Linked DNA regions of Caenorhabditis elegans. The protein of the gene in region 1 interacts with the protein of each later gene in a pairwise test. Each region holds a gene or a part of one and is shown on either strand. Other genes may lie near its edges.

Evidence for each region. Proteins that work in one complex are often made in the same cells at the same time.
Region 2: the proteins of klp-11 (region 1) and ifb-1 interact in a two-hybrid assay, tested with the Caenorhabditis elegans proteins (one large-scale study listed by BioGRID).
Region 3: the proteins of klp-11 (region 1) and srdh-1 interact in a two-hybrid assay, tested with the Caenorhabditis elegans proteins (one large-scale study listed by BioGRID).

Annotation. Positions count from the first base shown.
Region 1 is NC_003282.8:8,755,414-8,764,898, forward strand, and holds klp-11 (Kinesin-like protein), read right to left. Parts: upstream 6,654-9,485; 5' UTR 6,584-6,653; coding exon 6,539-6,583; intron 5,993-6,538; coding exon 5,937-5,992; intron 5,888-5,936; coding exon 5,783-5,887; intron 5,644-5,782; coding exon 5,394-5,643; intron 5,351-5,393; coding exon 5,258-5,350; intron 5,206-5,257; coding exon 5,135-5,205; intron 5,084-5,134; coding exon 4,123-5,083; intron 4,072-4,122; coding exon 3,974-4,071; intron 3,756-3,973; coding exon 3,613-3,755; intron 3,523-3,612; coding exon 3,407-3,522; intron 2,837-3,406; coding exon 2,734-2,836; intron 2,241-2,733; coding exon 2,095-2,240; intron 1,813-2,094; coding exon 1,724-1,812; intron 1,395-1,723; coding exon 1,322-1,394; downstream 1-1,321. Other genes in the region: F20C5.11 (uncharacterized protein), read right to left, coding at 1-44, 120-506, 556-723, 1,026-1,222, 1,272-1,307; cdc-50.B (Cell cycle control protein 50A), read left to right, coding at 9,467-9,485.
Region 2 is NC_003280.10:5,762,962-5,772,520, reverse strand, and holds ifb-1 (Intermediate filament protein ifb-1), read right to left. Parts: upstream 6,904-9,559; 5' UTR 6,880-6,903; coding exon 6,747-6,879; intron 4,300-6,746; exon of another isoform or gene 4,176-4,299; intron 3,577-4,175; exon of another isoform or gene 3,561-3,576; coding exon of another isoform or gene 3,521-3,560; intron 3,423-3,520; coding exon 3,172-3,422; intron 2,875-3,171; coding exon 2,753-2,874; intron 2,708-2,752; coding exon 1,919-2,707; intron 1,809-1,918; coding exon 1,607-1,808; intron 1,560-1,606; coding exon 1,452-1,559; intron 995-1,451; coding exon 830-994; 3' UTR 437-829; downstream 1-436. Other genes in the region: Doublesex- and mab-3-related transcription factor dmd-5, read left to right, coding at 1-58, 107-330. UniProt on the Caenorhabditis elegans protein: Cytoplasmic intermediate filaments provide mechanical strength to cells. Essential protein, involved in attachment structures in epidermal cells that connect muscles to the external cuticle. Required in morphogenesis and epidermal integrity.
Region 3 is NC_003280.10:8,262,297-8,268,763, reverse strand, and holds srdh-1 (L-serine deaminase), read right to left. Parts: upstream 3,576-6,467; 5' UTR 3,563-3,575; coding exon 3,512-3,562; intron 3,261-3,511; coding exon 3,068-3,260; intron 3,015-3,067; coding exon 2,896-3,014; intron 2,839-2,895; coding exon 2,533-2,838; intron 2,477-2,532; coding exon 2,258-2,476; intron 2,172-2,257; coding exon 2,019-2,171; intron 1,970-2,018; coding exon 1,511-1,969; 3' UTR 1,463-1,510; coding exon of another isoform or gene 1,430-1,462; 3' UTR 1,404-1,429; downstream 1-1,403. Other genes in the region: K01C8.2 (CC domain-containing protein), read left to right, coding at 236-512, 564-749, 796-1,018, 1,091-1,380, 1,430-1,462.

The sequences.
Region 1 (9,485 bases):
TTTTTGATGGTGAAGTTGGTGGATGTAGACGTTTCATGGAACATCTGAAAATTAAGATTTTTCTAAAACACATTTTCTATAGAATATAATAGAATGCCAAATAGAGAAACTAGACTTACTTGAATTTCTTTCGATTTCTGTCTTTCAACCTTCTAACTGAAATCAACTTTCGACGTGTTCTCGGTGTTTCAACAACACCATCAACAGAACACTCAGCACCAAATTCAGCATCGGAATCATCAGAAGAAGACTCATCGGAATCCAAATAGAAATTGGATTTAGTATTCATCAATTCAAAAGAATCCAATGATACTGTCGATTCAGCAAGTTGGACTGAACTTGATGGTTGACTACGAACCCATTGAGGGCGTCGAGGCAGAAGTCGAGAGTATGAGGATGCAACGTGGATTGATGATGACGTCAACAATCTTTGGTGTTGAGATGAAGAAGTGGCTGATGCAGATGTTGACAGACGGAATGGAGATGAGTGAAGAGCAAGAAGACATCTGAAAATTTGAAACGTTGTTTATGTGGACAGTACTGTAAAGATCTTACCTTGGATCATAACTACTTGCCCTCTGTTTTCTCTTCTCTTGACTTCTACTTAAAAGCATTTCCGTCTCGATTCTCCGGTTACTTGAAAATCCAACTCCAGAATTTTCAGCACAAAGCTGCTCTCCCGAACCGTAGACTGTTGCACCACGTTGAGGGGTTGACAAGGATCTGAAATCAGATGTTTAAAGCATGGCAAGTAGAGCAACAATGTTAACCAAAATTTCTGAAACTTTTTCGAATATAGTCAAAAATTGACAATAACTCAGTTTCACCTATCATAGTTTTGGAAGTCAACCAAAAATTTTTGAAATTTCATAAAAATTCCAAACTTTCTAAAAATTTGGAAGATTGATATGATTGATATGAAAGTATTTATATATTTTTTAACCTGGCAGACGATACTTCACCATTAAAGACACACATGTGGAGAAGAATTATTTTACTTTTAGTAATCCAACGTTTGCACTTACCTTGGAGCATGCAAGCTTTTAGTCATTAAAGCTGGAATTCTAGATGGAGTTCTTCTTGGTGTCGACATTGTTGAAATAAACATTCGTGGTTCATTGATTGATGATGACGTCATAGAACCACGCCCAGATGACAATGGATTACGGTAGTCATCAGAATCAGTAGATTCATTCAATTTTCTAGTCATTTCTTCTGTTTTCTGGAAAATTAAATTTTAATTAAAGATCTAACAAAAATCTGGCACTTACATTAATAAGATAATCAACATATTCTAACTCATTCATCGTTTCATTATTTTCTAATTCTGGCTTCTTCTCATCGAACCGTTCGGTGGCATTGTGTCGTTGCGGGCTTGACCGTTTTTTGAATTTCTGAAATGTTTTTCATGCAATTTTTGTTCTTATTTGTGTGTCATATACAGTGAAAATCAAAAACTAGTACAAACTAATTCCGTTTAGTAAATAAAAAATCGATGTAAAATCTCAGCAAAGCCAAGATCTTGGCGGGTCCTTATATCCAAGTTTTGTTGCCATTTTATTTCAGATATTCTTTTCGAAAGTCAGAAAATTTGAATTTAGAATCGAATGGACCCATTTCTTGTTTTTTTTTGTTGCATTTTTTAACTGTACTTTTTTCGTCAGCATATATTTTCACTATTAAAACAGAATATTCATGACAATAATTCCACAAAAAAACGTACTTTAATATCATAGTCGATTGGTTCAGAATTGGAACGAGAACCTTCGACGCGTCGATTGTCAGATTCTCGATTGATGGACGACGTGCTGACTGAAAATTTCTGGATTGAAAAAATATTCAAATGAAAAAATAAATGAGAAACTCAAAGTCTAAAAAATGAATGTTGTTAATAACGAATATTTCTGATGAGAAGAGGATAGAGAAAAAAAACGAGTCTAATAAAATGCATGTGATATCCTGCATAAAAATCCCTTCTTTTTTCACTAATCCTTCGCTCAATTCATTCAAATAGAACTTTGATTTCTATTAGAGTTGAGGTTGTTTGAACAATTTTAATAAATTAACAATAAGCCATAAAACCTCGAAACGTACCATCATCATTGAGTTTGAAAAAGTGGACGGATCCGAGTCAGTCACCTCTGGAACAAATCGTTCCAGAGCACTGAAAACGACAACGTTCTCCCCACAGAATCGGATTGTCTCCTCGGGAATTGTCGCCTCGACAAACGATCCTGAACCTGAAAATTTTCGATTTTTGTAAGCTCAATGGATTTTAAACTGAAAATGTAGTCAAGAAGTCAAGAAAAACTGATGGAGTTCTAAATTCGGTGTTAGGTTTTGAAAAGATCGTCAAACAAACAAATGCATAAAACTAGGTAGGGAACAAATAGTGAAATAGAAAAATGAAAGGCGACAACTGCCGGGAGCAAGAGTACACACAAAGAAAAAAAGTTGCGGAAGAGCACAGAGAGCGTCAGTCCATCAGAACTGCATAGATAAATAGATAAAGAGAAACATGAAACATAAGGCCACCCGGGAGAGACGACAGGCCAGTTTTCCGGTGAAGATGAGAGTGCGAGAATTAGATAAGAAAACGGAAATTGTGATGAAACTTTTTCAATCCAAACTTCTAGAATTATAAGAGACACCTAAAGTAATTAGATAAGTGTTTTAAGTGATATTTTAGATTCACTGTATCATGTTTAAAAAAGATATTTCAAAAATATATACCTGATATAGGAGGCCTCCTCTGAGCACCGAATTGTTCTCGAGCTGTTTCCACGAGCATCCGCTCACACATTGACATAGGCCGTCGACAGCCAGGAGTTGCCACCTGAATAAATAATTATTCAATTTAAACCTAATTTAGTAATGGTAACTTTGTAAATGATGGTGGATAGCTCATATAAAATTTGAATTGGTTCTAAAGTTATACAAATTTTAATTTCGGTCAAACTTATGAACTGTACTTTTGAGTTATACTATTACAATAATATTACCCAAATTATTGTATTCAGATTTTTGTAATCAGTACTAACAGATTTTAGGCAACGTCCTGCCAGAAACATGGGAATATATTTGAGCAGTTTTTAGTAAGTTGCCACAGCTTGTATAAGGGAATTGTATCAAAATGTACTTAATACTTTCTAAGCACTGACATAGTGAACTACAAAAGTCGGTATTATACAATGCCACTACAAATAAAAATATTCAGAATTCGACTGAAAAATGAGAAAAGGAACAACTGAATTGGACACACGATGTCGTGATTTTCAAGAACACAAAAAAAAGAAAAAGAAATCGAAAATGTTGTTTGCCTCTTTTTCTTTTTCTATATGAGCTAGAATCTCGAATGCATGCCTAATGGAGCCACTCGCTCTCGTTTCTCTAAGTCTCTTCTCACCAGTCTTTTGTCCAAAAATTGCGATGTCGCAGGCGTCCCGTTTCCGCCGCTCACGGAGACACCACTATCGGCACCAGATGATCGTGTAAAGACACCGTCTTCGTTGACTTCAATTGCTGAAATAAGAGGAATTAGTTTTGAATTGGAAATCTGATTAAATAAAAGTCCCCTATTCAATCTAATTAATTTTTAAACACAAAACTTACTATTGTTTAATGGTGTTGACGAATTAGAAGAAGTTGATTGAAATGCGTTAACATTCCATTCAAAGCTATCTTCATTCCATTCTGCTCGTTCTTTTATCCTTTCACTCACGTCTCGAGGGATGAAGTTTTCAACAATAAGAAGCCTGAAAACTTATATTATTCTATTAAAAAAAATGAACATCAAATCCTAACGAAAGAAAATTCTTCTGGGGGGAAAAGGAGAGAATTGTGAGAATAAAGAACCTGCGCTGTCGGTATCAAATTACACTATTTGAATTCAAATTAGAATACGAAAGAAAGTGAAAGAAATGAAAATGAGTGAGAATCTATTAAATTGTAATTGAGATATCACTGAACTTACTTCAACTTCAATTCCTTGCTCACTTCCGCAATTGTCTGATCCAGATCTTGTCGTTCGTCGGAATATGCTCCAGACACATCACGAATCTCATTGCGAGCCTGAAACATTCACAAACCTTATCTTGACACCTGGTACATCTGAAGTCAAACCTGTCTCAACTTTATCAACATCTTCTTTAACTTTTTTGTCTTTGCCTCCACCTCTGTCCTTAAATCCGAAAATGTTTGTTTCAAATCCACAGTATCCTCTTCCTGCCGTTCCAATGCTTCAACCATTTCTCTTTCCCTTCGTTTTTGTTCGGCAAGTTCTCTTCTCTTCTTTTCCAGTTGTGCATGTTGTTCTTTTGTCCTTGATTCTAACCTTCCATCTTCTTCAGATCCTACGATAAGTCGACTTTGAATGTTTGCTATTCTTTCAGCAACCCGTGCTTGTTCTATCCGTTCCTTTTCTAACAGATCATGCTTCTCTTGAATTTCTCTTATTAATCGATCCTTTTCATGTTTTATCAGTGAATCATCTTTTTGAATTGCTTCAATATCATCTTCAAGTTTTGCTCGTTCAGCATCATAAAAACTTTGAGTTGCTCCATCCCTCGATCTTGTCTTTCTCTGCTTCAGTTGCTCACGGAGCATTTCAATTTCTTCTTGGAATTCTCGCAGTAAAGCATCCTTAGGATCTTCATTAATTTTCGGTTGATTCTTGATGTTTTTAGCTCGATTTGCATATCGTAATGTACCAAGTGTCTCCTCAAAATTGTAACTTGCAGGTCCAATACAAGCAACCATAACTGTCTTTGAATTTCCACCGAGAGAATCTTGAAGAAGTCGAGTCAGTTTTGAATCTCGATAAGGAATATGGGCAGATTTCGCATCCACCAATGCACTGATTACATTTCCAAGAGCCGATAATGAAAGATTGATTTTCGTAGCTTCTTTAAATCTTTCGCCAGTTGCTCCTGTTTTCGATTGCCGTTCTGAACCAGCTAAATCTACAAGATTTAGTCGACCAACTGTAATATGACTTTCTCCGTCTTCACCAATTCGGGAACATTCAACAGTAATGATAAAGATAGCGTGGGAACGAGACGAATGCTCATTCATGTTGGTTCGCCTGAAAATTTTAGTAAAATCAAATCCAACGGCGACCACAGAAATAACTTACCCTACAGACCGATGCCCATTTCCTCGAATCATCACTTCGTGTATTTCACCTACTGTCCTTGTTAATTTTGACTGAAACTTTGAAATTTATAGTCGTCTTCTATTTCAGAAAACTATCACTTACCGTTAAATCTTTCACATAAACTCCTCCATCTGGACGTTCTTTAATTTCTAATTTCTTATTCGATTCGGCTTCTAATAAATCTCGAAGTTCCTCCTAAAGATTTCATTTTTGTAAATCACACATCCTAACGCCTTACCTGATAAATTTCCAAATAGCTAGCTCTAACTAAATACTCTTGATTATGTGATGCTGCCATGTGCTCAAAAATATGGTCAATACACTTATAGATGACACCTCGTTGTTCTGGATCCGATGATTTTCCTTCCATTGTGTGAGTCTTTCCAGTTCCAGTTTGACCATATGCAAAAATCGTGGCATTATATCCGTTTAGAACCGAATCAACTAGATCTCGAAAGGTTTCTTCATATAGATCCGATTGTGTGGAACTATAAAATATATATTTTTAAAAAAGAGAACTCATAAAATCATAAACATAAAATTGTGGAGAAATAATTTTGAAAAATACTAATATTTCTATAGCAGGTGAAAAAAAAGTGATGTACTCCTAGAAATAAATAATCTTACTTTTCATCATAAATTGCATCGAATGTAAAATCCTTCGATGGCTCATCTTGCTCTTTTGGATTTTTCAGCTCAATTTGCCCACGTTGTGGTCGCATATGTACTATTCTGAAAATGATCGAAATTTCAAAATATAAATATTTCAAACTTTACTTACTTTGAATAATTATTTGCAATTTCTTGTGAAGATAACGGTCGACATCTCACAATTACCTGTAAACATAAATAAATACATTTATTTGAATTTGGAAATGTATAAAACTGGATTATGAAATTTTTAAGCTGGTGGTTTTTGTATGAGAAGTAACGAAAAAAAGTACAATTTACTTAGAGTCTTGTGATTTTTCTTTCAAATGCAAAACTCAACTGAATCATAAATAGTGATGCTTCGAAAAGTTTTTAGAGGAAAATTGTATTTTTAGTAAAAACTAATATACGTTTTGGACTTAAAAAAAAATTATGTTAAAACTTGAAAAATTACGTTTATTAGTGCTTATATTAAAATACGGTTTCAAATTAATTTAAAATTAAAATAACTCACCTTTTGGTCAAAATCAGACATTTTAGAAACTAGCATGTACTTTATTACGTTGAATATAACTTATGTTGGAAAATGGAAAATTTGAAGACAGGTGAATTTTAGTTTTTTTTCTTTTTCGTACTTCTAAAAAATACTTCATTTATTTTACATTTTGAGAACTAATTTTTGAACATGTTTCGAACAAAAAAAAAGATTTTGAAAACCCCAAAAAAACTTACTTTGACAGTCTCCTGTTTTGAAGATTTTTTCATTATTTCCACCATTTTTTGTCACTAAATATTTGGCTATCAATGTAGGTGTCAAGGAAAATTTTGGTGCATTCCTGATTTAGTGAGAGTGGTCTGGAACTTAAGAAGATTAGTTTAATGTGGAAAAATAATCATATTGTATCGAGAAACGGAATTTTGAAGCAATAACCGCTAGAGAAAGTGACTAAAAACCAGAAATTGTAGTCGTGGAATTTCAATATTTTTGGTTTTATGTCACATCTGGACAATCGGAAAAATATGCATACATTTGAAATTTTTAGAAATATTTTGAATTAACTTTAAAGGAAAAAAATGCATTAAAAAGATTGAAAACATCATTGACGTTGAAAAATGGAGAAAATTTCTAATTTCTCATCAAAATATTAAAATATTAAAGTTCTTCAATAATATGAAAATGTGAATAAAATGTCTAAATAAGCAAAAAAAACAGATCCTATTCATTATAAAATGTTCACACAAGTGTTACATTTCGTACAAAGAAGTACTAAAACGGATGGACTAAAGTAATATTGTCACTCCCGAAAAGACGAGGAAGAAGTAATCGGAAGAAGATGTCGGAAGATGAGTGATAGTAAAAATACGAAGAGACGCAGATAGAGAGTTTGAGAGAAGGAGACTTCTGGAGGAATAAAAGGTGGTTTCAAGATGGGGGACAGAGAGGGAGAGGGTTAAAAGAGCACAAAATGTGCATAATATCGATCCTGCGCAGTTGAGAGACGCAGACAATGTGAAGAATGGAGCATATGTTTCTAGTGAACACTCAGAAGTAGTTGTTCATGTGTCCGAAACTTTGGAAACATATACATTTTAAACTTGACGTTTTTGAATTATAAAGGGATGGAGGTGCTTCAAAAAGTAATCATAGACATGTGTAGATTTTAAATTAAAACACAACTAGACATAGGATGAATCAGAAGCTTACCATAACATTGTTGATTTATTTAAAAATGAGAAAAAGTAAAATTCCGGATAGTCTTCTTTGAAAAAATTCACAGAGAAGTTATAATGTTTGATGATATTCACTGATTTGTAATACATTATTAGTAGCATGGCTTCTATGTATATAGACTATTTTTATATCACATACATGAAAAAGGGTTAAGGCATGCGCCAGGGCCTGAAAACGCATCTACCTACCAGGGGAGCTCTAGCTCTTAGTTATTAATTCAAGAGACTTTTGAAACTTGATTTTTTGAGATTTTATTCAATGATTGGTTTAAAAAAAAAGATTATTTGCAAAAATTACAAATTTTAATGTCTATACTCTGACATCGGTTTAGAACAATTTTAGACAGGCTGCAATGAAAGCAATGAAATAAAATTTCCTTGAAATTATAATAGAGAATCAGTAAAATGTTGCAGATTATTTGAAAATGCATGCAAGAATTCGCAGAAAATTCAGTGAAGCAGAAAAGTGCGACAGGAGACCGAAGTCTAAAAAAGTGAATTATGAATAAAAACAAATCATGTGACTGGATATAATTGAAGGTCTTGATTCGGAAAAGATAATTGGAGCTCTTTGCTTAGGCCAGGCTCTAGATATTTTATTGAAGCTTTTCAGAAATGTTCAAAATTATCAGGAACAGTTCTCTTTGCACTTTCTCTATGGCTCAACTACCAGGGCTTTTCCTTTTTCTTCAAAAAGTAGAATTTTAAATTATAATTTTAAAATTTAAATACCAAGCAAAAAATCATATACTCATCATATCATGTGATCATATCATATAATCATATAGGGCTCGTTCTTTTTTTTTTCAAAAAATTAAAAATTTACTAGAACCAAGCATATGACAATAAAATATTTTGAATTCACTTTAATGGGAAAAAAACAAGAAAATTTCATTAACATTATTGAAAACATCGTTGGCAATAGGAATGTAGAAAATCAAATCAAAATCAAGTGAGATTAGGAAAGAATCGAAATTAGGTAGAATTGGAAAATCTCGATTTTTTAAGTTGGATTCTTACACGATTTTTTCGGGATATTTTTCATTTTTATTTTGTAGTATTTCAGCCTAGACGGCTGAGAATTCTTTTCAAACCTTCCAATTTCAAAGAGATTCTTCCATAATTTAATATAATTTTCATTCGATATTAGCATCCATTATATACGTATGATTCCCCTTTTAAAATCGATTCTCCTTTTCAACTGACTCATCACTTAAGAATTGTTGAGTCATCAACTGATAGTGAGCAGACACCAACAACCATCTCTTTAGTTTCCGTTCCGTTTATTTTATTTTGGAATCTAACATATTCAAGAAAATTAACTTGAAATTAGAATAAATGTTTCTTGCTAGATTTTTTTGTCATAAGTATTTCTTATTTGGATTATAATTTTCATCTCGAAATCGTAGAGAGTTTTTCACTATTTTTTTTTGAGTTCTAAACACTTCCTTCCTCATCGATGATGAAGTTTTTGACAAATCAACTAGTTTTTTACTCATATCTCACATCAATCTATGATTTTATTCAAAAACAGTTAAATTTTTTTAACGAAATTAAAATGGTCATCGGACCGAGCAAAAGCTTTCAGAATCAACTGCTTCTTTAAATTCTTTAAAATTCAATCAACTTTTCGTGTCCAAAGTCACAAACTACACCTTTCAAAAAATATTTCTACATTATTTGCCCACATCTTGGCACAGTTTTCTTGCCATTCTTCAATATTTTCTTCTCTGCGTTTCCCACACTCTTATTTTCTGACTGTTGACTTTTCCATTGTATAGACTCAATTTTACTTTCGTTTTTTCAATTTTTTTTTCTGCGAAGTTCGGTGTTAAACCTCCATTTTGCAATATTAAAAATTTCAATATTGCCCGTTTTGGCTTGAATCTATTAAAATTATGCTGTTTTTTTTTCAGAAAGCACCAAAACATGCCAGATGATATTCCAA
Region 2 (9,559 bases), on another chromosome or scaffold:
TACTCTTCAATGCCAATGTTCAATCCTGTGTATGGAAGACCATTCATGAGATTTCCGAGTAAGAGAGCTTATTCAATATTATTTCGTAAATTAAACTTATTTTCAGTGTTTTCAGTGATGCCGCATTTCTTCGGAACTCCATCAATGTCAGATTTCGCATCTGCTGCGAGCCTCGCAGCTCCACCAGCGTTCTTCTCAGCCCAGCCAACAATTGCCACGTCATCACCGAGCACAATTTTCCCACAAACTGCTCCATTGGATTACAGTCATCGTTTAATGAAAAATGAGGAAGCCGAAGAAGAATACCGAGAAAATGATAAAACATTTTGAGAAATTGAATATTTTTTCTTATCGTCAGAATCAGAGTTCCAATACTTTGTATATTTTTATATGGTCACATTTAAAATTGTATTTATGATTTGTCTTCAATTAAAAAAAACTAAACTGAATAAAAAATCTTATTAAAATTGAAAAAGAAGTAGAAAACATTGAATAGAAAGATTTTTCGGTGGAAAATGAGCGGGGGGAAACACTTGAAGTTTGAACGGGAAAAGCAGTGTATTATGAAAAGAATTGCAAACGTTTTTGTTCTTTTTTTGATGTTTTTTAAAATGAATTTCAGATTAGCGATTTTAAGTGAAGAGTCTTAAGCAAATCAATTCAATATTTTGGTCAGTTTTAGGCAGTTTCAATGAATCAATTTAAAGAAAAAATGTCGAGAAGGTCTATCATCAAGAATAATAAGAAAATTATGGACAGAAACTAGAGAACTTGAGTGATTTTGGGGAGTTGTTTAAAAGAGAAAAAGTTGTTTAAAAATAATGAGAGCTTATTGTCCGGATTGGATGGTCTTCTGGGTGTGTGTTGCACGCTCCTCTCCATCCTTGTTCACCAATGACGTCACAACATTGGCTCCGATTCCCCAGGTGTTCTCTCCATCGAAGACAAGAGACTCTGGTGGGTTGTTGATGCCTCCTTGGTCACGGGCGTAGATCTGGAAATTTATTGGAATTGGAATATTCTCTTTTCGAAATTATGTAGATTAGTTTCTCAGCAAATGCGAGAAACCCTTAGACTAACCCGAAACGATTAAATTTCATAATGAGACCTCTCAGAAAATGTTTCCAAATTTCTTATGGTGGCTCAAAACTTGGGGAAAACATTTTCAAATTTCTAAAACCTGTAACTCTGATAAAGAGCATTAGAGAAATAACAACTGATTTTCCGATATTGCTACATGGACAATCTCACAAAATTTCAGATTTTAGCAAAATTTGGCCATTCCCTTTCAAAATTTTTTTTTTGGAAATTTTCAGGTGAAAGTACGTTTTTAACGGGCTTCAGACTATGTTGGCTGGGTTTCTCAAAAATATAGTGGCAGACTAAAAAAATACTAAGAATATTTACATAGCTACACACTTTTTTCTAAAACAATGATAAAAATAACTTACGGTCAAGTTCTTTCCTGGCTTGATAACAACATTGGCTGGAATGGAATAGACAATTTCGCGTCTTCCATCCAACTTTCTTCTGATTTTGTGCTCACCAACATTCTCATCCTGAAATAAAATTTTCAACATTTCAAAACCAAAAAGCTTCAACATACCTTGTTTCTGTGCGAGTTCTCAAGCTTGATGAACTTTCCATTTGGATCACACTCGGAAATTGTCACATTTCCCTTGGCGGATCTTTGGAAGGTGGTCTTGGTGGATACCTCACCGCGAACTGATCTTGTCGAATCAGTGTTTTCTTGTTGTTGGAGAGAATGCGTCTTGACGGCTTGCTCAACCATTTGGGTGAGTCCGACTCTGCAAATATATTTTTGAAACTTTTGAGAAAGGTTTTAGAACAAAATGATAACAAAACTGCCCAAAATTTGGCTTGCTGGGAATATTGATTAAATAACGATAATAATTACCTGGTCTCTTCTCCCTCGAGCATTTTTCTGTAGATGGCAATTTCGGCGTCAAGCATTTGCTTGGTATCCAAAAGAGCTTGAAGCTCAGCAACCAATGTTTGGCATTCCTCACGCATTCTTCTCAATGTAGCATCTCTGTCGTTGAGGGCAGCTTCGTATTGTCTTTGATCGTCGGTCAATTGGTAGTTCAAGTTCTGAACTTCCTTCTCCAAAAGTGAGTTCTTGTTCTCCAAATCTCCCAATTTTCCGCGGAGATCTCCAATGTTGTCTCTCATTCTCTTGACCTCATCCCTCTGGTAGGTGGACTCCATATTGGCACGGTTGGCAGATCCTTGAACCTCGGAAACCTTGAGCTTGTACCAGGACTCCATGTCTTGCTTTCCTTGCTTGGCAATGATATCATACTCATCTTTGATATCACGGATGGCAAGAGCCAATTCGTTTTTGAAGAACTCTCTGGTGTCAGCTGGAGCCTGAGCAAGGAGAGCTTGAAGTTCCTTAACCTCTTGTTCGTGAACTCTTCTCAAGAATTCGAGCTCCTCCATCAAAGTCTGCACTTGATTTTGGAAGTCAATTCTGCCAATGGTCTCATCATCAAGATCGCTTCTGGCCTTCTGAAGTTCTTCCCAGATTCTCGAGTTGTCAGCTGTAACACGCTTCTCCTCATCTGTCAATTGCTTGAAACGAGCACGGAGCATCTCAACTTCGGATTGAGCATCAGCGATAGCATTGGTCCATTGGGAGATCTTCTCGCGATCGGACTCACGGCGTTGCTGGATATCTTCGTATCTGAATAAATATTGATAAGCAACAGAAAATTAAGAATAAATAAACCTGGATCTGTACTCAGCCAAGTCGTCACGGTGTCTGGCAACTTTCACATCAACCTCTGCCTTTCTACGAGCAGCATCGTCAATGTCCTTACGAGCTGTTGAGAGGGATTCGGAGTATTTGATCTGAAATTAACAATTTGAATAGGAAAGAAGCTTTAAGAAGTTTGTTCCAAAATATAGGTTGAAATTTTAAAAAAACACTGGACAGGAAGCGCACAGATTTTCTTCTGGTAAGTTGAAGATTTTAAGGATGTTTGAGAGAATTCTCTAATATAGTAAATAAAATCTTGAAAGTTTCGAATATATATCTAAATAGAAATTACTGATTCACAATCAAATAATAAATGTTTTTTCTACAACTACTTCAGTTTTTTGCTTGCAGAAGCTTGCTTAAAATTTATTTGAAATTCACTAAAATACCTTAATCTCGGATGTGTCTTTTCCCCATTTTCCGCGAAGCTCATCCAAATCAGCAACCAATTTACGGTTCTGCTCTTCGAGTTTCTTGACACGATCAATGTAATTTCCGAGACGATCATTGAGTCCCTGCAGTGTCTTCTTTTCCTTATCAGTCGCCTCAAGGAACGATTTTGCTGCGTTTGCGGACAAGGCCGGTGAAATTCCTCCGACTGTAGCTGATCCCATCTCTGTCACCATCTTTAGCACGCGTCCTGAACGTTTTTATAATGATAATTAGGAGATTAGATTTGATTTGAGTGTTTTTATATTTCTATTGGGAATTTATATTTCGATATTCTTCTATTCTTACCTCCTGACATTGGTGCCTGTGGCGCTGATTCAGCCTCCATTTCTGATGTGTTTTAGCTTGAAATTTTAAAGTTTTTCTAGAAGATTAAGGGAAAAAAAATAATGAGGAACAAGTTCGAAAATTTCTGAATGAAAAATGAAAAACAAATGGTATAGAAACTAAATGTAAGTGTCACAAACACTATGCAAAATAACGGAAACCGTCGACCAATTCTGACCCTCTTCTGAATACTCCACCCAACGAAGAAATAGCATTAAATTTGTGGAGAACTTAGAGAAAAAGAATGAAGGTGTGTCAATGGTTTTGCCTTCCCGATCATCACCGATGATAGAAAATGGAGAAAGAGAAGAAGATATAATGGTGATAAGTTGAAGACAACGGACATGTACACATACGTACAGATTGCGAGTTGACTGTGCCTATGAATGAATGGATAAATTGGAAGAAAAGTGGAAAGAGATCAAGACACTACTTACTTAGAAATTGAAGATGAAGAATACGTCAAGGTTGTTGTGGGCGGAGTCAACTAAAGATAATCATCTTGATCAGATCTCAATCATTCATTTTTGTTATCTTTTTTAAATTGCGGGGAAGCTAATTAATTTAACTAGGATTCCATTTTTGACATTTTTTGGTAAGGGAGATATTTTTGTTTCAGAAACTAAATCTAATGGTAGGAAGGCTTATTTTTAGGCCAACGTACCTGTTTTATTTTTGTCAATTTGATAGAAATTCAATTAAGAAAAACATCATTTCCAGTCCTCAAAAATGTTTTTAAGTTTAAGAATCTTGAAACACGGGCCGCAAAAATTGACTTATCTCAAGTTAGAACAAAATTGGTTAAAAAATTAGTTTTGACAACTTAAATGTAAGATGGGACATTTCTAATTGAAAAAAAAAACTCTACACCATCTTGCAATAAATCGGAGAAATCCGAGATTCTATCCGAGAAGATCTCATAAATCAAGTGATAATCAGTATAATAAGTTCTTGTCACTGTTCCACCCAATTCTCACTCATTAAAACTAAATGACTAATCACACATAAAAAATGGGTGTTTTCCATGTCTCAGTTTCTCATCATTCAAAATAGTCACATCTTGGGTGTGGTCATTCCTTCCTTTCTCACCTATTTCTCATCTATTTCGTAACTGTATTCTAAATTAAAAGTTATTCAGGGGATTCTTTTAATTTTAATTCGTTACCCAAAAAAAAACAAAATTAAAATAAATGATGAATAAAATCAATAAAAGCTCGGATTTCTTCAAAGTCCGTCAAGTTTTCAAGTGTGTTGAGCAGTCAGCCGGCTGGCGGAAAGTGTGCCCAAGAAACAACAAACTAAACATTTTGTTGACTTAATCGGCTCAATGTATCTTTTTATACATGTTATCTCAACTGGTTACGAAAATTGAAATATTGTATTTAAAACTGTCTGAAATTTTGGTGCCTCTTTCAATCTGTTATTTGCTTTTTGCATTTTATTTCCAAAAATGTTGCCATTTTTATGTATATGCATAGTTGAAGACTATTTGCCTAACAACTCTTTCTGTCATGCACTATAAACTTGATGGAACTTGAACTTTTAAATTCAATAGATTTTTGGTTTGAAAATGAAGGGCGTTCCTCAGTGATTATGCTAATTGTGAGACTGTATCGAGAGACGAGAAAACCCAGAGATTTATGGGATTTTTTGGATGAGAAAAAGTGGATTTAATGACGGTTGAATAGGAAACGATATGGGCTGCCGGAAAAAAATCTTGTGGTCTTATATTTTGATCTTGATCTCCAGATTTGCTTAAAACAATAAAAAAGAACAATTTTTCTTTTGTTATGGTAATGCCTGCCTATTTTCTATTTTCACAGTGAGTTAACTTGCTCAAAGAACAACTAAAAATTACAAACATAAAAGATAACTTGTGTTTAGGCAGCAGATACGTGCGTAGGCTTACGGCAAGTTATAAGAAGCTAATACTATGTAGTAAGTTTACGTACCTAAATCTCTGACTTAACAAACAATTTTCAATTTCAAATTTTTACTGTTAAAAACTGTTTTTAGCTTTTAATTAAATATATTTCGACTGCAGTTTTTGAAGTTTTAATTATCCTGACATTTTATGCTAAAATTGCCAATTTCAAATTTTCCCCATTTTTGCCTCAAAACTCCAAAAATATTAATATTTGTTTAATTTTTGAGGAATTCCCCCATTTATTCACAGAAATTTCACTTCATAAAAACCTGTTTCTAGATTTTTGTTAAACTATGAAAAAGTGTGGTTTCTTGCCAAGTGAGCAAATATTAAGAAAACTCATTAAATTAAAAATTGCATTTAAAGGCATAAAGTATTACTTTTTATCTTTTAACTTTTATAATTTCGAAAATAATTGATTTTAAGTGATATTTTTAAGCAGAAGATTTTGGATCAACTCCGAGTAGAAAAAATGTAAAATCCCTGCTCAAAATATTATCCTCTACCAAACTGTTCACCTTTCTCAAAAACGTTTCGTTTAGCCAAGAACAAATCAACGCGTTCGCACTGATAACGACTCTTGCTCTCTTTTTCTCGTTTTTATATTTTCTTTTCATCCTCCAGGTCTATATTTCCATCCTCATTTCTATTGTATAGCACAGCAAAAACCAATATTTACTTCATCTTCCAATTGATTAATAAAACCACCCAAACTATTTTTTTGCAATCGGATGAACGAGAGAGAGAGAGAGAGAATAAAGTGTTCGGTTCGATTGATGCGACTGTTCACTAATTCGCTTTGAATTCAAATACATAATTATGGATGGGTAGTAGACGGATAAACATGTAAACAGAGAAATAGAGAAAGAAAGGAAAAAAGAATATTGGAATATTGGTTCAGTTAATAGTTGATCGGATGTATAGTGTCAACTTGAATTAAGGTCATCTATAAGACCGGTCCAGGAGAAAAATAGCTTGAAGGTTTACTACTTTTGAAAAAATAAAAGTATATTCTGAAACTCTCAATCTAACAGGAAAGTATAGAAAATACGTTGGAAATTGAGTGATCTCTGAAGCTTAGACTTCAGTAGGAAATTTTTTTAAAAGATATATAACTATCCGGATTTCAAATCAAGAATTTGAAACAAGAAATGCTCCTGGTATTGATGATTATTTTCAGAGGAAAGGATATAGTAATAGCTGAAATTTTTTTTAATCTTTACCGTTTTCAACTTTAAATTTTTTTAAAATCTAACTAACCTCCGGATCCTGCTCCATTTCCACCAGACACGTAGTTTCCAGACTGACGTGATTGAGAGCGAACCGCTGTTCTTGGCTGGATGGTGGATCTGTATTGCATCTCGTACTCGGAAGATTCCTTGTGAGACGACATCTTCTTTCAGAAGTTTGACGCTACCTGAAATTTTTTTTTTGAAAATATAGAAGCTGAATTGGGAAAATACAGAAAACTGAGCAAAAAGTAACAATTACAAATTTTAATAAAAAGTGTTAAACCTTAAAACAACAATATGATAAAAAAAAATGTTTCTGCATCCTTCGGCATCCAATTTGTTCCTTATCAAAACCCAAATAAGCGTGGCCGGTTTTCAACAAACATACACACTCATATATATGTTCAACATTTTTTTGAGTACACTCCACAAAAAAACAGAAAACAAATAAGGTGGAGGAGGAGTGACTGAACACGCCCATTTTTGTTCATGGAAATCAGAATTGAATATGGGTGGAAGGACATGATGGTGAGTCAACGTTAACCTGTCAAACAAATTGAAACACCCAAGCACATTCCGGAGAATTGTTAGATGGAAGAACAATAGAGATTGAATTTCTCGCGCATTGTGCAGGGAAATTTGCAAGAATTGGGTGGAAAATGACGAGAAAATGATGGAAGTTAAATGATTTTATTCATGATTTTTTTAAAAGATTATCTTGATTTTTTTTTATTTCTGCAGACTACAGTAAATGCTTCTTATAATTGTTTTTTTCGAGCAACGTGAAATGATCGCAAAATAATAAAAACCTTCTAGGTAGGCACGAAACCTACTAGAATTCACAGGAAAAATAGGATGCAACCAAGTACGAAAGCCGGCAAAAAGGAATGATTTCATGCCTATCTCCTTTAAAGACTTAATTGTTCAGATCTGAAAAACTTTCTAAAAAAAGTGGGACAGCGAAATTTATGTTGCATTTTGTTTCGTAAAGTTTTCAACTTTTATGAATGATTTTGAAAATGAATTGCTGTTTTTTTTTTAATTTTAGTATTCATATTTTCATACCTAAAGCTTGTTGACTCAAACTTAAAATCATAATAAAACTAGCAAAAGATGTGAAGAAACATGTGGGTGTTCAGTGAGTCATAAAGTTGGAAATTTATTGAGTAATTGTATGACCAAGTTCTAATTGACACTACTTGAAATCCTAAACCATTCGGTTACTCATTCACGATAGTTTAGAAAGCTTAAAGTAACTTTGGGGTGGAGTGAATAAAAGTAGAAAAAGACACAGTGCTCCTGCTCTGCTCGGAGTAAAAAAGTGAAGCGAAAAAAATGAAATCGGAAAGACACACACACACAAGCATTCCTACAGAATACCGAAAGGGTATTGTGAGGACGGTCTGTTGCGCCGGGGGTCGATGAGGCAGAGGCCCTGAGAAGCGCCCCCACCAATTGCTCCGCCCCCATTTTGTTGCCGAACCGTCGAAAAACGAGCTGCTATTTGCGTTCCTCCTTCTTTTTTCTCTCTGCGCGCTTCACTTTTTGAAATGATGCGCTTGGCGTATAGGCGTATTCCGAGAGAATTTAGAAGAGATGACGACTACTTTTACCTCATAGGAAGTGGCCGATTATCACAGTCAAGGACAAGAGAGAAATGATTTGAAATGGAAAAATGAGGAGATGTTAGTGAGGGAATTGGAAGAGGGGGAGAATAAGACATTGTTAACATTTTGTTTTCATTTATGGGTGAGAATGATGACAAGATTGGAGGTACAAGTGATCAAATAGTTCTACGAAAATGTTCCGTGCTGGCTAAGGTTTTGCATTTTTAATGTTGGGCTGTGGTAAAAAAATTAAGAACTCATTGTCAGTAAACAAGTTTTGTAAACATTGAAACCTGTAAAAAAATAGTTTAAAATTATCGCCGTCCAGTACTAAAGCTGAGGCATACCGTATTTTCCCTACAAAGTCTGCACCACAATTACTCTACTTTGACGGCCTATTTTCCAATTGTCTCAAGTGTTATCAAAAAATTCTCTACAACCAAAATATAGAGACATATTTGGTACATATTTGGTAGTTGACAATTTATTGATAAAATTTAAAGCAACCGAGATATATTCTGCCAAAGTAGAACCAGAAGATACAAGTCTAATAGGAAGAATACGGTAAGTTGAGGCCAATTTCTAATCTCGAGGCAAATGTGAAAACTAGCATGCACAAATATGCCTACCCGCCTATCTACAGGTACGACTCTGCTTGCAAGAGAGATAGGCAAGGAGGTAGGTAGGAAGGTAAGTAAGTCTACTGGTAGGCGGGTAGGCATCATGCGCTCATTTAGCATTGAAAAATTATAGCCGATATGATAGCTTTCTTCCCGGCTAAGTGGGTAGGTCTCAATGCGCCTGTATGCAGGCGGGTGAGCTTTTTGAATGAATAGAAGGCTACATAACGTTGACCCATCTAATAATACAATAACGAACAAATTTTGAAATTCAGAAAGGAATAAATCCAATTTCAATTAATCATCTACAGACTCTACAGACTAGGAACTATCGCTCTTGTTGTTCTGCCTTTTTTTTACTGATTTTTTTTGGTGCAGTTTGAACCTCTACCAATTAATACTATGAGTCTACTGGTTTTCAATAGATGGTTTCGATGAAAAAAAGAAAGAGAAAAATGAAACTGATGGATTAGGCATAGTTCTCAGTTTTATGTCGTCTTACGGGTGGGGTTTTGTATTTTTGTTTTTATGAACTATTTGAATTTTGCAAATGAGGAAATAGTTTAGATGTTTAAAAAACAAATAAATTAAAATAACGATTTCTCGAAGGATGT
Region 3 (6,467 bases), on another chromosome or scaffold:
ATGCGGAAAAATTGCGGAGAAATTGCTAATTTCACGACATTTCATGTCATTTCTCCGCACACTTGCATTGCAAAATATTTGTCGAGAAATGACGAGAAATTCACTTGCATCATCCCATTAGCGTTCGAATATAAAAATTTAACCAACCTTTTCGGTTTTTTTTTGTAACTTTTTGCTGATAAAGATTTTGATTAAATTGAAAGTTGTAACTTCTAAAAATCAACTCTGTTTTCAGTTCGATATGTGTCACTGCTGCAAATGGTCAAGGAGTTTTAATATGTTGTTCTCAACCTTCTGGTGTTACACCAATATGCCCAAATAATGCAGTTTCTCAACCATCCACGATAGGATATGTAGAATGCTCACAAAATAATCCGACTAATTGTATAACTGGATATCAATGTGTACAATCTTCTAATGTTGCTTCCACTTTTCTATGTTGTTCCTCTTCAATATCAACTTCATCTTGCCCATCTGATTTCACACCAGCAGTTGGTTCAAATGGAGGAACGGTTGGTTGTAGAACTTAAAACTTCCCAATCTTAATACCAAATAATGTTTAGGTATCCTGTAGTCCTTCTGTATCCACGTGTCCATCTGGTTCATCGTGTATGCAAAGTACTCTCAACTCTGCATTCATATGTTGCAGATCCTCAAGCTCGCAGAGAATTTGCTCTAACAACCAAATTGCACTTATTACAAATGGAGCTCTCGAGATGTGCACAACACCCGGAACACAATGCTCATCGGTATCTTATTTTATTCTGATTGAAACAAAAAAAAAACAACTTTCAGGCCGGGTACACGTGCCAGCTATCAGTACTTCTAGCAACATATGTTTGCTGTGGACAAGGGTCAACTGGATCAACGATCGGATGCGCTGATGGGCGACCGGTTTATCAACAGATTGCTGGTCAAACTTATACTTGTGAAATCACGAGTGCTATCACAAGTTGCCCATCCGGTTATGATTGTGCACCATCTGATGATCCGTTCGTAGATGTGTGTTGTTTAACGGGTAAATATATTAAAGATAGGCTCGTCAACTGAAATCCACATAACTTAGCGATTTTTCTATTTAGAATTTTAGGTTCGACCCCGATTCCGGAAAACCTTTCATGTCCGACTGGTTGGAATTCTTACAAAAATGAAGTGGATAACGCAGTTCGTACTTGCACAGCTGTACTTGACACATCATGTCCAATTGGATATTCATGTGCACCGTCAAATCAAGTATCCCAATTTTTATGTTGTCGCCTTGCTTCTTCTTTAATTTGTATCAACGGGAAGACATTACTTGTCAATGGTGCTCCGAAACTATGTACACCAACTACTTATAGTCAGTGTCCCTATAATTATTCGTGCCAGCAAAGTGTAAATGTAAGTTGGTTTTTTCCAAAAAAAAAAGTTAAAAATAATTTATTTTCAGCCCACTGTAACAGTATGCTGCTCCAATACATAAATTCATCAGTGAAATCGTTTTATTTTAATATATTTGAAAATAGAGAGTTCAATGAAGTATAACATTATCATAAATTTTCTTCAATGCAGTCTCAATCTCCTCCACGTGCTCTTTTCCACGAGTTTCTGCCACAACCTTAACTTTAACGTGGAATACATCCGTTGAGATCCATGCTCTTTCGTGGAAAATATCTTTGATTGATGCTCCAAGATGAGCAATTGTAGTTGTTAGTTCAGCAATACCTCCTGGTCTATCTGATACGACAACTTCTAAACGAACAAGTCTTCCATCTACAGCTAATCCTCTTTCAATTGATCTTCCAAGTACTGTTGTATCAATATTTCCACCGGAAAGAATTGAAACAACTTTCTTTCCTTTCAATTCTGGTACTTTTCCTTCCAAAATAGCTGCTAATCCAACAGCTCCTCCTCCTTCAACAACAGCCTTTTCAACTTCCAAAAGTCTTAAAATACTCAGCGCAATGCTTTCTTCTTTCACTGTGATAACCTGCAACATTTCTTATCAGTTGTAATGACCCAGTTATCAACTATCAAACCTTATCAACCAAGCCTTTTGCTGTCTCCAAAGAATTTCCGCCGACTGTGGGAACGGCGAGACCATCAGCAAGTGACGCTTTGGCCTGGGAAGTTATTATATGGCCAGCTTCATATGCTTCAGTGAACGATGGGCAGGTTTCTGATTCAATTCCCTGAAAAAGAAACAAAATATTCATTTTAAAATGGAAATAGTTCGAACGGTTACTTTAAAATTTGCAATTATGAGAAATGAGCTTACATAAATATGAACATCCGGCTTCAATGTCTTAACAGCTGTTGCGATTCCAGCAATTAATCCACCACCTCCAACTGGTACAAGAATTGTATCAACATCTGGAACTTGATCAAGAATTTCAAGTCCAATTGTTCCTTGTCCAGCAAGAATATCAATTGCATCATAACCATTAATGTACTTTAAGTGATTCTCTTTAGCGTGACGAAGTGCAAAGTCCTTGGCCTGAAATTTAGAGAAAGTTCAAGTTTTATTGCCTTCCTTGCAAAAAAAAAACCAACCACTGCAATACTCTCTCCCTTGAGAATAACTGTTGCTCCCAAGCTTCTGCAGAATTGAATTTTCATAAGTGGAGCAATAACAGGCATGACCACTGTCACTGGAATCCCCATTTGTTGTCCATGATAACTGAGAGCTAGAGCATGATTTCCTGCGCTCGCAGCGATCACTCCTGCTTTTTTGAATTGCTCAGCCATTTTTGAAAGAGCGTATCTTGCTCCTCGTTCTTTGAATGATCCTGTCACTTGCAGATATTCTTTTTTGAAATAAAGGTCCATTTCACACTTGGATGACAGTTGAAGAGATCGCTGAAAAGTTAGAATTAAAGAAAAATTGTAAAATATAAAATTGTTTCGAAAACTTACCACACATGGTGTTGTTTGAACTCCATTTTTAATGTTAAATGCAGCACTTGAAATATCAGAAAATTTCAATTTCTTTGGGTTCTCTGGATCACAATCCGGATCGAAAAGTGGAGCTTCAGCTGAAAAGTTATAATTTTCGTAAATTTATATTGTCTTTAGAACAGTAACTCACTATCACTGTTACTTCCAGAAGTCTGTTTATCATCAACATGTGGGGACTCGGCTCCATGGGTTAAGAATGCCTTATGAAGCTTTCGAACTCTTTTGTTATATTCCATTCCATCTTCTTTACTGATGCTTGCTGTCCGTTTACGTTCAGCCTGCTTCACTCGATGATGGTGAGTTTTTTGAGGTGTTGATTCATGCTGAAAATAATTGGATTAATTTTTAAAAACATCTTTTAATGTTGGAGCATTGGAGGTAACATAAGCTTGCCTCATGTCTAAGGGGGGGGGGGGGGCTTTAAATTCTTTTAAATTTCAAGCCGAACTTTCAACAAACAATTTGAATTCAAAACACGGGCGCTAGGCAGGCATGTAAATCGGATGTGCCTGCCTACCGTTCCGTAACCTTTTGGATAATTTAAATATTTTAGTAACTTGAAATTTTAACTTACAGAGTGATCATGATGATGAATAATCGACTTCTTTCGAGATGGAGCAACCATAATTATTTTGAGGCTGAAATTTTATAAGTATGTTTTCCCATAAATTGAAAATTTGTAGCATATATAAATAATAAAATAGAAATTCAAAAAAATAAAAGGGCAGTAATAGAGGAAATCTAGAAAAACTGGTTATTTTAACCTAGATAAAATTGTTTTTGAAAACATAACACTTTCTAAAACTGATGTAAGAATAAAAAATAGAAGAATCAGAGAAATAAGATATTTATTATTAAATAACTTGTGATAACAGTGATACCAATTTACAGTAACTAAAGAACAATCAATTGTCCTGAAACTCACTTTATAGTCTTGATCGGCCAAAAACCGAAAGAGATTTCGTCGACACGTGGGTTGAAAATGAAGCTCCGCCTTTCGAAAAAACACTAAATTGCATCAAATTCCTTATCAAATTCTCCCAACGATAACGGTTTCGACGACGTTTCAGGTATTCGAAAAGGTGTTTTTATTGGGAAAATGTGGTGATCACTCGATCGATAGATGGATAAACACAGAGGGATCAAGGAGCGAAATGTGATCAAGTAAGCAATAAAAGAAATGACGAGATTTTATAAGGAAACAGATGATAGAAGGAGAAGCAAAGTTCATTTGAATGGTTTATTGGCTGAATTGTATTTACAAAAATGTCAGAAGTGAGAGACTAGTGACGTTTTTATTTTGGCGAACGATTAGTTTTGGCTTTTTCTAAGATAATTCCAAAACTAAAACTTTCAAGAGGTAGCCGGTATTTGGAAATGTGAATTGAAAAAATTTTAGGTACGGTTTCTATGTGAAAGTCCAATTTTCTTCAGACTTCCCTCTTAACACAAGAGCAATGGAAAAAAGAAAAGTGTTAAGGAAAGCTGAATCAAACTGCCTGGTTCCTTTTAAGTAAGATTTTTCAGGATGATTTATAAGACAAAAAATGAGACATTTATTTTCTTTAAATTCCACTCCGCTTTGGTCATTCCATTCATTTTTCTGAACTTTGAGAACACTAATATCCGGTTCTGTATAAAACTTATACAGGTCGCTTGTTCTAACCAAGTTTGGTTATTTTCTTTAAGATCTTTAATATCATTAGTAAACTAGTCTACAAGAAAACTTCTTCTTTGATGGTTTTGATGAATGTAACTTTTCATACTGCAACCCGAAAACTCCTGACATTTCATATACATCGACTCATGAACGCCTATCCTTCCAGGCTTTAAATTAGAAAAAAAAAGTTGGAACTTTATTTTTAAAACATTTACATTTCAGATAGATTTGGTTTGTTTTCCAGTATTTGGTATCTTCAGAATCAGTGAAAATATTTCTTAATTTCATGATGGTATCAAATGACAGATTCGATCATTTCTCTACACGTGCAAATCTAATTCAATTGATCATTTGGCCTCATTGATATTTCAAATTCTCAATTTCCCGAATTCTAAGGTACATGACGAACTGAGTGCAGTAGAAGGAACTTGATAGACACGCGGTTCTTCTCTTTGAACAGGCCAAAATGTGTGACTGAAGACACTTGATAAGAAAATTCAGAAAATAAAAAGACGAAGAGTCTGGTAATCGTAATTGAAAATTCAACTTTTATGATTCTGAATAAAAGTACAAACTACAAGTATGTGAGGTATTAGAAAATATCGGTTTCCTGATGTAACATGTCTGGTGTTGTAATAAAAAACTTTTGTCTCTGATATCTTGCAATTTGTCTTGTATGACCTTCAACTGATGAAATCTTGAAATTTAAAAGGTTCGAAGAAGTGTTTTGATGTACAAAAGTGATGATATTCATATGCAATAACTGGGAAAGACTTTTCCGTTTTATCCGCCATAATCGAACATTGTTTGAGTTTCAGAAAAAAAACATTTGTTGAAAAACAACTAAAAAATATTTTGCCACATTTTATCAATTTCAAGTTTTTCGATATTGTCATGTTTAGCCAAGTTACAGACCGTTAAAAAAAAAACAATTTTACCCATAAAACTCTTCATATCCAACGCAGAAAATTAAAATTTGGACGAAACATCGCACTTTTTAGTGCTCTATCAGGATCCATCAAAATTGCTTCAAAAATAATGTTCATCTTCAAAATCGTCCTCCGCTCCGAAAAATGAAATCGGACCTTTGCCTTTCGGAAAATGACCAAAAAATGAAATTGGGATATGCGGGTCGAAAAAAAAATTTTTAGAAAGCTGAGAACACGTTATTTACGAATTTCATGTTCATTTTTGATGAATTTCCGTTTCAAATGGTCTGAAATTAAAACGGCGCCGATTCGATTCTCACGTGAAATTTATTATTTGCTTAAAAAGATGCAAAACTGATCGAATCCCCAGTTGTTGTTTAGCGAAAAAGTGTCACGTGAGAATATAATTAGGTTCATGTTTTAATTTCAGGCCATTTGAAACGGAAATTCATCAAAAATGAACATGAAATTCGTAAATAACGTGTTCTCAGCTTTCTAAAAATTTTTTTTTCGACCCGCATATCCCAATTTCATTTTTTGGTCATTTTCCGAAAGGCAAAGGTCCGATTTCATTTTTCAGAGCGGAGGACGATTTTGAAGATGAACATTATTTTTGAAGCAATTTTGATGGATCCTGATAGAGCACTAAAAAGTGCGATGTTTCGTCCAAATTTTAATTTTCTGCGTTGGATATGAAGAGTTTTATGGGTAAAATTGGATTTTTGTTCAAAAACGGCATGTAACGTGGCTAAACATTACAATATCAAAAAACTTGAAATTGGTAAAATGTGGCAAAATATTTTTCACCCTCAATTCAAAAAACGTTTTTTTCGAAGTTCAATGGATTCTGGGTTATGACTGGTAGAACAGAACGATTCTCAAAAACTTTGGTGGATTTTTGTAAAATGTTTGTGACTTTGTGTAACTCAACAAATAATGGT